Linked DNA regions of Drosophila melanogaster. The protein of the gene in region 1 interacts with the protein of each later gene in a pairwise test. Each region holds a gene or a part of one and is shown in the gene's direction. Other genes may lie near its edges.

Region 1 (4,394 bases):
TGGTCTTGGACTGCTCGATGCGTTCCGCCTCCAGCATTTGTTCGGCCAGCTTGCGCTGGTTCTCCCGGAACTGGTTGATGGGATCGTCGAACTGGCGATAGTAGTGGAGCACCTCGCGCACGTCGTCCACGTTGTTCTGCGCAATTACTGTAGCGAATTGCAAGGGTCAGTGTTTAGCTTTCAATGTCACTTGTGGCGCAACTTACTCTTTAGGAAAGCGATAAGGTCCAGCAGTTGGCCATCATCGTCGTTGCCATGCCAGCGGGCCAAGCCGAATGTGTTGTCCGGATGCATCTTGGTGGCATTCGCATCCCAGTCCACAACAATCACCTAAAATACTCCCTTCTTTATAGATGATTGCAATAGAAAATACGTTGTGCATGACTTGCCTTCTTGAGGTCGCGATTAAGGTTGTCCAGGTTCTTCACATGATGGCCGTCCACAAAGTGCGTGGCATCCCTGACCAGGCGGTACATAATGTAGCCGTTGGGATCGAGGGCATCCAGGATGGGGAACACGGTCATGCCCTGTTCGGCGGTGAAGACGACAATTTCAAAGTCCTTGGCGCACTCGGCCAGAAAGTGGTCGACGCCGGGACGCTTCTTGAAGCGCCAGCCAGTTTGGTAAGTCCAGTCCGGATGCACCAGCACGTCCTTCATCTCCAGCACAAGCGTGTAGCGCGGCTGCACGTACGGCGGCTTGAGCGGATCGGGCAGCAGTTTGGCGCGCGACGGCTCCTGGATCATGCGCTGATAGTAGTGAATGCTCTTCCACATCCGCTGCAGATACTGCTGTACCAGCGGCTTGTGTGTGAACTCGTCCTCGATGGGCTGCCCGTTGGGGTCCACCTCGGGCTTGCCGAACTCGTAGACGGCCCAGAATCCAGCAGCCACGGCGCTGCCTCCGAATATTGCAAAGCTGCAGCAGGAAGTATTGTTATAATACTGTTACGCATTGAATGGGCGTCAGCTTACCCCAGCTTCATGCGCTTCCAGGCACGCTCGTTCTCCTTTTCCTCCTCCTCCTCGCGCTTCTTGCGCTCCTGCTCGGCGTTGCTGTCCACCTCCGGCGAGGTCTGAGGAAAGAGCTTGGCCAGCAGCGGGGCATTCGGTGCGACCTCGGGCGCATCATTGGGGCCAGTGGCTCCAGCTTCCTGCTCTGCGAAACGAAAGTGGCCAAGGATGAATGTTTAGGACTCTACTGTTTAGGACTCTACCGTGAATCACTTACTGGTTGTGCTGCTGTAGCCACGCGCTGTGTGCAGGATCGAGAAGAGCGCCGGAGCAGCCGCTGGCAGTGCTGTGCAAGTGAATAGTCGGAGGTACTGCTGCTGGTGGTGGAGGAGGTGGTGCTGGTGCTGGTAGTGTTGGTGGTAGTGGTGGTAGTGATTACCCAATGCGCGGTGCTGGTGGATGTGGGTAAGAAGACGCGGCGTGCTAAGGCCGCGCAGCAACTGGAGGACGGTGGCCGGTGCCATGCTCATGCTCATGCTTCCCCCTTCCTTCCCGATATCGAGTCCTAGAGCCGTTCACGAGTCCTGCTCGGATGGCAGCGACTTTTTACTTATAAAAAATTCCAACAAAAATTTCAACTTCCCACCGGCACGGCGTTGGCGTTAGGGATTTTATATACTGTCCACTGCCAGGCGGCACCAGGCGTTAGTACATTTAGCACGTGGCTCTCAGCAGGTATAGATCGGCGATTTTCAAGCCAAATCTGGCGGGATTTTGCAGATAACTGCGTGTGTACATATGTTGCCTCCGGCAATCTGACTAATCACAGTATTAAGAAAATTTTAAATTAAAATATTTTAAATAATATGGAAATACACAACCTTTGACCAACCACCAAGCCACTGTGCCTCTGGTCACTTCCAAGCTGATGTGCCTGGCTAGCTATTTTGAGTGCCACCACTAACGCATCAGCTGGACTTTGGCATCACTGTTCGGGACGCTAAATTAAGTTATTTATTTAAACGTGTATTATCTACTGTCGAGTTCAATCCATGACGACCATGTCGCCGCCGTCCCCCATGGACGCCTTGTGCCGCGTGTGCCACACAGCATCGCCGCGCTGCCTGCCGCTCTTCAAACCGCTCGACGATCCAATTTCCGGCAAACCAGCGACGCTGGCCAGCATTTTAAGCTACTGCAGCGGTCTGGAGATCCTAGAGGCGGAGCTCTTCCTGCCCCACCACATCTGCCCGGACTGCGTGGCCAAGTTGCGGCTCTCGCTGGAATTCAAGCGGAGTGTCCATCGCATGGACAGAATTCTGCGGCAGAGTCATGCGGACTTTTGCCGCAGCAAAAAGATCAGCGCGGTGAATACTAGGGCCAGGCTGTCAACCGAGATTCCGGAGGATTTTGTACTCGTGCTCGATGACCAGGAAGTGACTGAATATCCAGCAGAAACGATACGAGATGAGGAGCAACTCCTGGTCGTAGAATCAGATGAGGCGGAGAGCCGGCTGGAAGCGCCAATTGTACAGGAGGAGAGGCTGGATATTGCACTGGAACAGCACGAAGACGATCTCTGCGAGATTGTCGACGATCCGGATCCGGAGCAACGTAGGAGCAGGTTAGAAAGATCCGAGCCAGCGCTGCAATGTCCCGTGAGTTGCCTTTCCGAATTAGAAGTAAGTAATCACGAAATAGTTTCCCATCTTCGGCAGATTTGCGGCAAACAACTGGCTAGGAAGCGGACCTTTCAGTACCACATGAGGCTACATGGCCAGCCAAAAATTCGCCAAGAAGACAACGACCACTGCATTGAAGAGTGCCTCCAAGTGGAGCCCGTTTTGCAGGCCAAAGCTGGCGAAGATGTCTACGAGATTGTGGAGAAATCAGCACAGACTTCGGCGACGCAGAAAACTTTGCCCAGTGGAAGCCGGCCTTGGAAACCCCTCAATCCCTCCCTACAGTGTAAAGTAAGTTGGTCATCGCAGCTCGCAAATAACTCAAAGCCGAAGGTCATCAATTCTCCCTCCATTCCTTTAGATCTGTGGCAAGCAACTAAGCACCAACAACTCCTTCAAGTACCATATGCAGCTACATGGCACGGCCACGCCCTACGTTTGCACAATCTGCGGAGAGTCCTTTAAGACGCGAAACGCCCGCGACGGCCATGTCACGCTGCACGATCGTAACAATCCGAACAGGTGCCCCACCTGCTTCAAGGTCTACCGGCAGGCGTCCTCGCTGCGCACACACCTTCTAATCCACAGCGGAATCAAGCCATTCGAGTGCAGCATCTGCGGCAAGAGGCTAACACAGAAGTCGGGCTACAAGAAGCACATGCTCACCCACACGGGCGAGAAGCCGCACGGCTGCGACATTTGCGGCCGTCGCTTCCGCTACTCGAGCAATCTGATTGCCCACAAGCGCTGCCACAGCCAGGAGAAGCCCCACCCGTGCCCGGTGTGCCAGAAGCGCAGCTTCGGCAGCACATCCGAGCTCAACCGCCACATGCTCGTCCACAGCAGCGAGCGACCGTTCGGCTGTGAGCAGTGCGGCAAGTCCTTCAAGCGCCGCATCTCACTCGCCATCCATCGCCAGTCGCACAAGGCGGGCAGACAGCGGAGGCGGGCCGAGCATGAAGTGGGTGTCCAACTGGAGGAGCAGGACGAGAATGTGGAGACCTGAAGCTAGATCGCTTATACTATCGGCTTAATGTACAAATCGGGACATTTAGTTTTAGTTCAATTCGCTTTTATTTTCGGTACTTTCCTTCGCACAATAACAAGTTTTAAGTGTGTTCCTATTGTTAGGATAAATTTGATTGGTTTTCCCACCCAAAATAATGCGTGTTTCATACATACATATATATTATATATGGTCAACAAACATTTCGAGTCTTCTGACGATCCTTTCGATTTGATTTAATGTAATGAGCTTTAGTTTATCAGGTGGAGGCGGGAGAATCTCTATACATATGGAAGTTTCGATTGGGTTTTGTAGTTGATAGTGGCTAAGGGTGAGGGTGCGGGTGCGGGTGTGGGGACCTTAAGCTAAGCTACTATGCTGCATTGAACTTACGCGCTAGAAACCAATTAGAGTAGTGCGGAACGAGTGTGCGAGCGGGTAACAAACAAAATGGGGCTGGGAATTAAAAGTGTGGATTGGGAGCTACGCGTTACGCTGCCGCGCGATACATAAAGTTAATGTATAAATAAATATATATGTTCAGACAATGTGAGTGCTTGCTAATACTTGGCATACATAAAATGAGTATAGATCACAAAAAGTCGCGTAAAAACATAAATGTTAGTGGGTATAACGTGGGTGGGTGGGATGAGTGAGTAATGAGTAATATCAGTGGGACATGAGGCTTGGAGGCACACGTGGCTTTCCTTTCCATCGTCCAGCTTGGACGACTCTCATCTCAAGATCCGGACT
Region 2 (3,726 bases), on another chromosome or scaffold:
TTTCCTAACAGTCTACTCTCGAAGAGATAAATCATTCTTAAAGGATATTTGATATTGTCTAGATTAGGAAAAGCGTTGTACTTACACACAACTTTGTCCACGGGATCGTAGTCGTCGAACTCGACGAAGGCGAATCCGCGTTTCTTGCCAGTCTCCTTGTCAATGACTATGTTGATGTCGACGATGTTGCCAAAGTGCTGGAAGTAGTCGCGGATGCTCTGCTCATCATGGTCGTCCTTGAGGGCGCCAACAAAGAGTTTCTTTACGGTGGCTCCGGCATTCGGGGAATCAATGTCCTGACGGGGAACGGCGCGCTTGGGCTCCACCACTCGACCGTCGATCTTGTGGGGACGCGACTTTTGGGCCTCATCAATCATGCTCGAGTGGGAATAGGTGATGAATCCGAATCCGCGGGAACGCTTTGTGCGCGGATCCTTCATGACCACCACGTCCACGATGTTGCCCCATTTCTCGAAGTGAGCCTTTAGGTTCTCGTCGGTGGTACGGTAGTCCAAGCCACCGATGAACAGCTTGCGCATATGCTCCGGCTCGGTGATGGAGTCCTGAGGAAAGTCCTAAATTATTGATTTTATCAATGGCCATAACCTCACTTTCCGCCCTTGAGACACATGCGTAATTTTCAAAATGGCGACCGGCAAGGCGAGACACCAGCTTACAGGAAATTTCTAGACCCTTAATATCCACTACTTACATCATCATGGCCATTGGAGTTGCCGTTCTGGTTCTGGTTCGAGTTCACCATTTTACTAATGCAAAAGTTGAACAACTTCTAATCTAACTATTTTTTTTGCTATTGCAAATGGAGAAAGTCCCCTGACACACGAGACGAATGAAAAAACTGAATACAGTGTGACCGTTTCTACAACCCGATTAAACCCAGCACCTATTCGATACTACCTAGAACGATAACGATAAGTTGACAGACACCCTTGTCAATACAATACTTTTACAATATCTGCCCTGTTTCTTTTCACCATGCCTTAAAAAATGTGTGTAACATGTGTATTCTTGATCACGCCTTTTGCACTAAAAAGCTAAAAGAGAAACCAATACCGACAGCATCGTACTCCCTAGCACTATTAAGATACAACTACTGTTAGTCTTAGTCTTAAGTAACAAAACCGCAACGAAATGCTTTAGCACATCAACTTTAGTTGCCGCATGGGTAAAAGCGCGTTGATCACCAAAATATATATATATTGGGATTATGGCCGAACTGAGTTTTTTCCCTGTGCAGTCGCGGTTTTGTGTGCTACTTACATCTTGCTCCTCATTTTGACCATTGTTCCAGTTGTCGTGACCACCCATTTCGAAGAACTTATATTTAAATATCTTTACTGCTCTGATATATATCTCAGCAATACTATAGAAATAACGACACTGGGAACGAAAGACGCTCACTGTAGCACCCCTTCCCTAAAACTGAAAATATATTTTCCTGTGGAAAGGAAAGCCGTAGACAGACCTTACAAAAATACTAGACCTAAATAAAAGCAAAGGTATTTGGTTACACTAATCGGTTGTTGCTTCCACTTGTTTCCACTGAAAATCTATGTGGGTCAAATTAGCGTCTATGGCAGAACGGTGAAATATGGAAAATGAGAATCTTATTTATTTATTTAATTTTTCGCTATTTATAGGTAAATTCCAAAAAAAATACAAATGCAAAAATCTTAATAAATCGAACTATTTAAGAGATCTAACTATCTATGTACGACTAAAGTTTATAGGACTCAGAAAGTATATAAAATATGCAATAAAAAAATCGGCTAGCTACTTTTCAAGGAATATCTCCACTCGCAGAGCATATTCCAAAATGCACGCTGGCCAGAAAAATGATGTGTTAAATTACTCGGCTCCGCCGTCGCCGCTAACTCCACGATGCTAATTTAACGCATTTTTTGTAGCTATTTTCAAGATGTAGCTACATATTTAGCGGAATATTCGAAAGCTTTTTGTGGTATTTTTCGGCGCACCCGCAGCAGCCACACTGCCGCACACGTAAGGAAATAAGTTTTCTAATTCCTTGATTTCAAAAATGCCGAAAAAGAAGACTGGGCAGCGTAAGAAGGCCGAGAAGCAGAAGCTTCGCCTCAAGGAGATCCGCAGCAGAGAGGTGCCTCTTGCGGATTTGCCCTGCAATGCACCAATGGAGTGCGACAAGTGCGAGAAGAAGCAGAAGTCGAGAGCCTTCTGCTATTTCTGCCAGAGCATTCAGAGATTACCCATTTGCGCCCAGTGCGGGAAAATCAAGTGCATGCTAAAGACCGGCGACTGCGTGGTCAAACATCCGGGCGTCTACACCACGGGCCTCGGAATGGTGGGCGCCATCTGCGACTTCTGCGAGGCTTGGGTTTGCCACGGACGCAAGTGTCTCCAAAACCACGCCTGCACGTGTCCGCTGCAGAATGCGACCTGCCTGGAGTGCGAACGCGGTGTCTGGGAGCACGGTGGGCGCATCTTCAAGTGCTCCTTCTGCAACGGATTCCTGTGCGAGGACGATCAGTTCGAGCACCAGGCCAGCTGTCAGGTGGGTAACCAAAAATACTCATTAAGCTTGTTCCGAACTTCATTTTGAGATTCATATGACGCCTTTTGGTAATGCAATCCATTCGGTTCCAGGTGCTGGAGTCGGAGAACTACAAGTGTCAATCGTGCAACAAGCTGGGTCAATACTCCTGCCTGCGCTGCAAGACCTGTTACTGCGAGGATCACGTGCGTCGCAAGGGCTTCAAGTACGACAAGAACAAGCCAATTCCATGCCCCAAGTGCAACTACGATACCTCGGTGACCAAGGACCTCAGCATGTCCACGCGGTCGCACAAATTCGGGCGACAGCAACAAGGAGGCAACAGCGACGACGAGGAGGGATACGGTGGATACTATGGAGCCGGTGGCAGTGGCTATTATGGTGGCGCCGCCAGTGGGGGCTACTCCTACGGGGGTGATGACGATGAAGATGAGTCCGATGGAGACTACGATGATGAAAGCGATGAAGACGATGATGATGATGAGGAAGAGGACGAGACCACAGAAAGTGAACCGGAGAAGGAAACCGACAAAAAGGCCACCAAATAAGGCTGAATTGTTTATATACTCGTAAATGGCCTTTTGTTAGTCCCTCTAAGTGTGCGAATGAATTCTCGGCTGTGCAGTCGTTTCTCTCGATGTAATAGGGAAATAAATTCTTTGTCAAATTGTAGAGTTTCCAAGTAGCCATTTTATAAAATGCAACAAGCTGCAAGTGGACTGTGGGCGAAAGTCGAAAGGTAAATGCGCAAGCGAATGCGAATCCAAATTCCACAAGGGAGGATAACTGGGGAACTGCGGGTGCGGATTGGAAATAATGGCCCTGGGCAGGGAGGAGCAGCAGGGCCAACCCGTACGCATATGATGATGGCGATGCCAACGGCTCTGCCAGCGCCAACTTCTCTGCTGATAGACTCATCCATCTCCAATCCACTTACGAGCGCAAATATTTACACAATTTACTCGAAAACGGAGGTATGAGCATATAATATTTCCAAAAACGATGGCAAACACACCACACACACCAAGCGAAAGACACGCACTTCGGCATTTGGGAATGTTTGTCAGTTAGGCAGAGCGGAACAGCAACAGCAATGGGTAGATGGGCGATGGTTGCTGGGCCATGTGGGGCACGGGATGTGGGCAGGGTTCGACCCATCATCAGTCTGAAACATT
Region 3 (3,032 bases), on another chromosome or scaffold:
ACTTGTGATACACCTGGTCGGCGTCTTGCAGCGCCTGTTGGCGGTAGATGTGCTGCAGGGCGATATAGGAGTCCGTATTGGCAGTCATGTCCGGCAGAACGCCAGGCAGAGGGAGATGGCCCTCATTCTCATGTATCACAAAGTGCTTTAGGGCCTTGGCCATGATCCAAAAGACGTTGCTCTGTAAAAAAAAAAGAAAAACAAATGAAAGTAAAGTATACGTATAAATTCAGATTATATGGGCAACCTTCTTGTTTAACTGTTCGCAGGCATCATCTTCGAATATGGCTTTCAGGCTTTTGGGAACCTGTCCCGCTCCAAAGGCTGTATTGACCGCCTTGATGGCCTCTTCATAGTTTTCCTCATCCGCCTTCATCTCCTCTCTAATGGTCTCCTTCAACTGATTCTTCTCTTTGTAATTTCGAGGCGTTTGAGTCCCATCCGCTTGTTGTTTTTGCCACACATTAAGGTATTTGTGAAGAACCAGCAACCAGGGCACCTTACTGGTCACCTCGGTGCCGTCGAGATGCTCCCGCAAAGCATCGAATGGATGCTCCAGACGCAGATCAAACTGTCGATTATCCGGATGCGCCTCCACGATGCAGTGTTCCCGTATTTGCAAGCGTATTGTGCCCAGCATGCCAAGCGATCGGCAGTAGATTAATGGAACGTTAAGCTCCCATAACCGTTCGGCCAGGAGAAGCAAAGTCTGCTCATTGAGATTGGAGGCAATCACTAAATCGAAGCTGTCGAAGAAGTTCGGTCTGTTGGCTAATAAAAAGTCGGCACTCTCGTCGACATAATCGCCATTTACGTCGGGATTGAGTTCCTGGAGAAGTTGCATGCAAGCCAATGCTTTAGATTTGCCCAGATAGCTGGAATCGAGGAAGAAACTACGGAAAAAGTGACTTTATAATGGTGGTCAGGGAATGTGTGATGGTCTACCGACTTGTTGCCCAGATCCTCCTCCTTGACGGTGCTGCCATCGGCCACAGTGAAGCCTCCGATACCGGGTAGCACCAGTCCCTTGGCAGTTTCACAGCCGACGGCCGTAACATTCACCAAACATACTGTGGCTGCCTCCAATAGCGTCTGTCCATGCTCTCCCCACAGCCTAAATAGGTGTCATCAGTGCTATGCTTCCGAATTTATCAATTAAAACGCTCCTCACCTGATTTGTCTGTCGTATTTCTTGCTTTTATCCGAAAGCTCTGGCGATTTGGGGGCTGGCGAGGACATTTCACTAGATTTTTGTGCAATAATAAGCCGGTTGCAAATAATCCAGTACTGTAAAGCGCCGGCAGCCAATACTTCTGACACAATTTGTTTATTGGGTGGAGTGTTGGAAAAAACACGTTGGTAATTTTAACTGTTGCTTATTTAAAACATTTATTGACTATTACGTATTACATTTCATTTAATTTTATTGCATTAAACTACATCTACGTACAAGCAATCAGTCTTTACAAATAAAATGTATAAACAGTTGAGAAATTAAAAAGTGAAAGTCTGAGCAAACCAAATAAAGTGTCTGGTTGACAGTTTTTGAATAGCATTCCATGGCTATGGTTTTGGGTGAGTTTTAATATTGATTTTCAACATGCAATTAATTTAATTAAATAATACCGCTAACTGTTTGTTGGCTGGGCAGTGTAGGCAGCGCATTTTGCAACACTGGGAGGGCTAATGAACAGCTGTTTTATCGTGTAATTTCACAACAAAACAACGCATACATCGCTGTGTTTTCTTCTGCATTTCCGTCCGATTGCGATCCAATTTGAACTAAATAAATATCAGTATTATCACGGAGATAATGCCGGCCAAAAAGAGAACTGCCGCGTCGACCAGCAAAAATAGCGATTCGCCATTAAGTCCGCACACAGACGATCCAGCGTACAAAGAAAAAAGAAAGAAAAACAATGAGGTAAGTTTAAGAGTTTTGGATGTAAACAGAGAGCAAAGATTGGGAAACATGTTGCTGTGGCGCCGTGGCCCCCAGAAGTCCCCAAAAATAGATGCCCACTATTGATTTATTACTATTCTCGGAACAGGCTGTTCAGCGCACACGCGAAAAGACCAAGAAATCGGCCGAGGAACGTAAGAAACGCATCGATGATTTGAGGAAGCAAAACGATGCTCTTAAGGTTCAGATCGAGACGAGTGAAAAACATATATCTACGCTTAGAGATCTGATCATTCAGGGTGAGAAAACGGAGGACGGCCATCGAATCATCCAGGAGATTCTCGCTGAACCAGATCCCGATCCCAAGGACAATGACTAACGAGGAGCTTCTCCTGATTTACCTTCTTATATTTTCATACTTTTAAGCCATTTCCCATGGTTGTTAACCATGTGTATCATCTTAGTTTTTCGATTAAAATGGTGCAATTGCTCGAATTCTATTACAAAGACAAGCACTCATGCAGACGAGAACAGTGTTTGTTAAAATCCTACATAAATGGTTTTCATTATTGGTGAGTTTTTATCATTTCTCACCAAATACTTGTTTTTGTTGTACTTTTCTTTTACTTTTGTTTATATTGTAACACTTAATCACTGTATCCATGTTGCACTGAATCTAAATTTTAAAATTATCTATATTTAGTAATAGTGATTTCTATTATTTTCGACATGATTCATACAGCTAAAATCATGCGAGTCTTGAATCAAATAAAGTGTCTATTATGATTTTACCCATATCAGTGTTATTTTATACCCAATACTTCAGCTGTTTACAACTACTACTACTATTATTATTTCCTTGAAAGTTGATGAACTCATTAATCAGAAATACAACCCAGATTCCATCATATACATATGTTCTACGTTTAAGTAGAACTTCCGGCAAATTAGATACTAACCGTCGTAAACGTCCAATTTCTCCATGTGTAGGCTAAAGACCTCGTCCATTTTCCGAGATATGAACATATGAACTAAAACTATAGCTATTGAGAAAGTGTCGTTGTGCCGATAGGTTTTTGGTTTCGGGTGTCCCGTTAGGTCTTGCTCTCTTTGCTTTTGTTGTGGGCGC
Region 4 (4,828 bases), on another chromosome or scaffold:
CCTATGATGTTTGGTTTTCGTGGATCGATCGGCGAAGGCAGCTGGACAGTAGTTGCACTTGTATGGTCGGTTCCCCGTGTGAGTGTTCATGTGCCGTACCAGCTGTTGATTCTGCACAAAGCCTCTTCCGCAGATCCTATAATAACATCCTATTAGCCATAGTTACTATTTACTTTCAACTTTTAAACCTACTCGCACTCGTGTGGTTTAACACCAGAATGGAATTTCATGTGCTCGGTGAGACGCGCCTGAGTCGGATAGATATTTCCGCACACATCGCAGATGTATGTGCTCAGCTTGTTGCGCGGCTTTCTGCCCACCTTCTTTTTGAAGGTTTCCACTTTTGGGCTATTCTTGTGGTATGCAACTGGCTTCCTGCCCGATCGGTCGCATTTTTCCGGCTTAGCATGAGTTGGGTCATAATCTTCGTCAGAGTCGAGTATGTCTTCAGCAATTTCTTCTTCGGGCGGCTCCTCTGTGGCAACATCTGTGCCGGTGGAGCCTTTTTCCTGTGCGATTTCCGGCGAGTTTTCGTTGGTGAGCAGTTCGTATTCCTCGTATTCAGCATAGGTTTCAGCCTCCTCGATCTCATTTGGCACCGGCTGCGTGGGATCGTGCACATCGAACATATTGGTATCATCAGTATCACCATCCTCCACGACATAGGTGATAACCTGATGTTGCTGATCCTCCTCGCCCTCCACTTTCATGCCGCCATCCAGCTGACTGGCGTAGTCCTCCCACGACTTCAGTACGCTCTCCACCGAAAGGTCCTCCGCGATGCTAAGCAAATCCCCTTCGCCGGCGGCGTTAGCATTGCTGGCCTCCCGGTCCAGCATGTCCATAATGTGCTGATGGGATCGCTGGCATGTCAGACGGAACTTGTAGCAGAGCCGCAGGCAGCGCACGCACTTGCTGCACATCTTGTCCGGGAAGTTGTCATCTAGGCTGACCTGTTTGGGTTGGAATAATTTAAAATGGGCAAACCAAGCAGGATTCACACTTACTGGAATGCCTGCGCAAATGTGCAGCATTTGGTCCAGTCGCGTGCTTGCCGTTTCGCTGAATATGTCGTGGAGCAGCTCCTCGCCCTCGCTGGGATTGTTCAGGCAAACGCGGCACACCACCCACTTCTCGTTGGACTCAGTTTTCATGGCTAATTCGATAAAACAATCACTTCGGTTGTTGCAGAAGATTCAAACAGCTGAATTTAAGCGTCCACGGCCACTGGCCATTCACAGCGAAACGCGCCCGCCAAAGTTGATACGGTGAATGCACGTTATGAACGACTACATGGAGCGTACAGGGTACATAGCTGTATGTGCACTTTTTACCAAACAAATGTTTTAAATAATTTTTTTTTGGTAGAAAATAATATAAAAATGCGCGTCATTTTATTAATTTTATTTTCAATTTACAAATATTGAAGGAAAATGGTTTTAAGTTCGTTTATATAATAAAAAGGAAAAGCACTATTCTATCAAAGTAGTTTTGTTTCAGTACAGTAATGACCACACTGTCTTATGGAACGATGGAACTTTACATGAGCTTGACATATAATATTGTATTAAACTGCTTAATCAAGCTTTTATATATTTAAATTGTAAAACACTTGAATTCCAATTTTACTGATTTATTTAACTGCCCACAAAATGCATTCGTATTCTTAATTATATATTTAATATTTGAAGTAGCGAATGGAATACCCTTAGCGTCGACTGTGGTCACCCTGTGTGGCGACATTCGCATTGCAACGCGTGCACTTCGCTCCAGACTACAATCTATTTTTTTGGCGTCGTCTTCGTCCAGCGAGCGTGTTATTATAAATATTATAGCGGAGGGTAAGTAGCCTCCTGGAAGAGATCCATCTCCTATTCGCGACAATGAGAGACTCGGCAGCACATGCGAGTCCGGCGGCAGCGGCAACGAGCACGCAGAAGTGGATCGTTTGCCGGGTTTGCCTGCAGCAGCCCAAGGAGCCCATGGCCAGCATTTTCAACGACGATTCGGAAAAGGATCTGACCCACATGATTCGCGAGTGCGGCGGAGTGCCCGTAAGTTTGTCCCATTGGACCCCGAACCATATAACAATGCAATTTCCTTGGCAGATCAAACAGTTCGATCACTATCCGGACAAGATATGCGAGAAGTGCTTCAAGGTGCTGAAAATGGCATTTAAGTTTCGAGAGACCTGCCAAAGATCGTACGGCCATCTGCGCCAGTTCGTTGGACCCGTAGAGGTGGAGCAGCGACCACCGGAGAAAAAGGGCTCAGAGACAGCCACCAAGCTGGAGCCGGATGTCGATCCCGATGAGGCGGAGCAGGAGCCAGAGCATGACGAGGAAGACGAGGATGTGGACCTGGACGAGAGCCACTATGCCGAGGCGGACGATGCCGCCGAAACGCAGGGTGGTGTCTTCCATGACGAGATTGAGGATGGTATCCTCGTTGAGCTGGAAAAGGATCGGATTGTGCACGTGAAGAACGAGCAGGTGGAGGAGGACGGCATAATCGAGGAGGTTTATGACGTGTATGAGACGTACGAGGGCGACCTCATCCCAGATCAGGGCTATGACCACGAGATGGCCGATCAAGCCCTGTCCGAGTTATCTGCCGAAATCGAATACCTGGACCAGGTCGAGCATGATCAGTTGACCGAAAGTGCCCACGAGGATGATGCGGAAGTCGATCTGAACTCAACCGAAGAGGAGTTCGTTCCCTCAAAAAGCGTTCGCGCGTCCATCCATGCGCGGAATGCCACCAAGCGGAGAGTGAATCCCCGCAGGTCAGCTACATCGACGGCCTCGGTGGCTGTAGAATCGAGTACCTCCAAGACAACTGACCGCGGCAATCCACTTAAGGTACGGCGGGGTAACAGTGATTCGGCTGGCAGCAAAATGAGCATCAAATCCGAGAAGGACATCTCGATTGGCGAGGTGCTGGCGCGCAAGCATTCCGGCATTAAAACCAAAGGCGGCCACAAGATCCTTCTTGGCGACAAGAAGGAGTTCAAGTACATCTGCGATGTCTGCGGCAACATGTATCCCTCCCAGAGTCGCCTTACCGAGCACATCAAGGTCCACTCCGGCGTGAAGCCGCACGAGTGCGAGTAAGTAACTTCACAGTTTTTACTGCGTGTTCACTATGTTCTTTGGAGTGTTATTACGATTTTAGCTCATATATCCGTCTAATTCGGGTATAATGATTGTGTGGAAGTAATTAATCATTTTCAATAAGCCTTCATTAACTTAAAATCTCATTTTTCAGGATCTGTGGTCATTGCTTCGCCCAGGCTCAGCAGCTGGCACGCCACATGAACACCCACACCGGAAATCGGCCGTACAAATGCAGCTATTGCCCGGCAGCCTTCGCCGACTTGTCCACGCGTAACAAGCACCACAGGTAAGTTGGTGAGCTCCAATCCAAACCCGATTTGATTGAATAATTACCCGTTTGCAGAATCCACACCAACGAGCGACCCTACGAGTGCGATGTTTGCCACAAGACATTCACTTACACCAACACCTTGAAGTTCCACAAAATGATTCATACGGGAGAGAAGCCGCACGTGTAAGTTTCGCTTTCCCCCTGGCGGTTACAGTCCGTATTCTCTAGCACGAACTTTCACTGTTTCACAGATTGTTTATGCATACACTAGCTTCAGAACCAGATTGAGTTTTTTTTTTGATATAGAGAGATGGAAATCGTTTATAAAAATATACTTTTTATTCTATAAGAATGTACAATTCACAGTGGAAACTATTTTGAAAGAGCCATGCTGTTTCAAAAGATTATTGTTTACGAATATTACGTAGTATATTAATATTTTGAGTTTAGTTGATTGTTTATTAGGTGCCTGAGGCGTAAATAACATTAGATAAACAGGGAATGAAGTATTAGTGTTTAAATATTATAAGTTATAAGGAAGACATAAATTAATCAAGGATTCTAATCAATTTAAAACACGTTTGCTCTCTCTCTTTAGCTGCGATGTGTGCGGCAAGGGATTCCCGCAGGCGTACAAACTGCGTAACCACCGGGTCATCCACGAGAGGCGCGGCCAGTCCGCACGGGAATCCGTAGCCGGGCTGGTGTCCTACGACACGGCCAACATCGTTGGCCTGGATATGTAAATTTCGAGCGAGGACTCCACGTCGTCCCAAAGCGACACTTTACACTTTAAGCAGAAACACGCGTGTAATTACACATCTAATTATATTGATGAAATTTAAGCCTAGCCTAATTATGCGGAAATAAATTAAGAATAGCCGCGCATATGGTCTTGGCGTCGGTCTCCTCCGGATAGAGCTGCAGTACGGCATGCACCTGGTGCGGTGGGAAAAGGCTGCCCAGGTGATAGCGCAGCAATCGGCGCTGCTCCTCCCGCGGAAGCTGCTGCGAGGCGTGCAGCTCCTCGTTGATGCGCGAATCGGAGGCAGACAGATGGGCGAAGTTGTGAGCGGGCAGTGGCAGACCCAGTCCCTGATCCGTGACCGGGGCGGATGGCGTGCGCGTCAGATACTGGTGGTGATAGTTGGTGCTGGAGTTGGACTGTTGATGCTGCTGCTGTGCCTGGTGTTGTTGTTGCTGGAGGGGAGCACTGTAGGTGGGCACCAGCAGGCGGTAGGCGGGCGGCGGTTGTTGGCGCTGCAGCTTCTTGTGGCGATTGGGCTGGCTGGATTCCACGGCACCCTCTGAAAGATCCATTTGAGCGGAGAAGCCCTGACATACCTGCTCGATGGTATTTGACTTGGTGCGCCCCAGCGGCTCCCGGCTAATCAGTGAGTTGATCTTAACATTGTTATTATTGCCACCCGGACTGACCAAC

What was found.
Region 2: the proteins of CG2712 (region 1) and Noa36 interact in a two-hybrid assay, tested with the Drosophila melanogaster proteins (one large-scale study listed by BioGRID).
Region 3: the proteins of CG2712 (region 1) and Irbp18 interact in a two-hybrid assay, tested with the Drosophila melanogaster proteins (one large-scale study listed by BioGRID).
Region 4: the proteins of CG2712 (region 1) and idc interact in a two-hybrid assay, tested with the Drosophila melanogaster proteins (one large-scale study listed by BioGRID).

Annotation. Positions count from the first base shown.
Region 1 is NC_004354.4:2,730,560-2,734,953, forward strand, and holds CG2712 (uncharacterized protein), read left to right. Parts: upstream 1-1,909; 5' UTR 1,910-2,005; coding exon 2,006-2,611; intron 2,612-2,671; coding exon 2,672-2,926; intron 2,927-2,996; coding exon 2,997-3,641; 3' UTR 3,642-3,843; downstream 3,844-4,394. Other genes in the region: ttm50 (tiny tim 50), read right to left, coding at 1-147, 207-330, 390-918, 975-1,158, 1,231-1,489.
Region 2 is NT_033777.3:28,597,555-28,601,280, reverse strand, and holds Noa36 (Noa36), read left to right. Parts: upstream 1-1,992; 5' UTR 1,993-2,059; coding exon 2,060-2,551; intron 2,552-2,643; coding exon 2,644-3,099; 3' UTR 3,100-3,222; downstream 3,223-3,726. Other genes in the region: Hrb98DE (heterogeneous nuclear ribonucleoprotein at 98DE), read right to left, coding at 86-575, 713-763.
Region 3 is NT_037436.4:11,096,892-11,099,923, reverse strand, and holds Irbp18 (inverted repeat binding protein 18 kDa), read left to right. Parts: upstream 1-1,737; 5' UTR 1,738-1,782; coding exon of another isoform or gene 1,783-1,813; coding exon 1,814-1,924; intron 1,925-2,051; coding exon 2,052-2,282; 3' UTR 2,283-2,478; downstream 2,479-3,032. Other genes in the region: APP-BP1 (beta-Amyloid precursor protein binding protein 1), read right to left, coding at 1-181, 248-893, 950-1,114, 1,172-1,239; CG33947 (uncharacterized protein), read right to left, coding at 1,783-1,832, 2,863-2,911.
Region 4 is NT_033777.3:20,030,057-20,034,884, forward strand, and holds idc (identity crisis), read left to right. Parts: upstream 1-1,766; 5' UTR 1,767-1,883; coding exon 1,884-2,054; intron 2,055-2,108; coding exon 2,109-3,109; intron 3,110-3,267; coding exon 3,268-3,402; intron 3,403-3,459; coding exon 3,460-3,570; intron 3,571-3,824; exon of another isoform or gene 3,825-3,985; coding exon 3,986-4,133; 3' UTR 4,134-4,239; downstream 4,240-4,828. Other genes in the region: trem (trade embargo), read right to left, coding at 2-136, 193-953, 1,008-1,154; Regnase-1 (regnase 1), read right to left, coding at 4,240-4,828.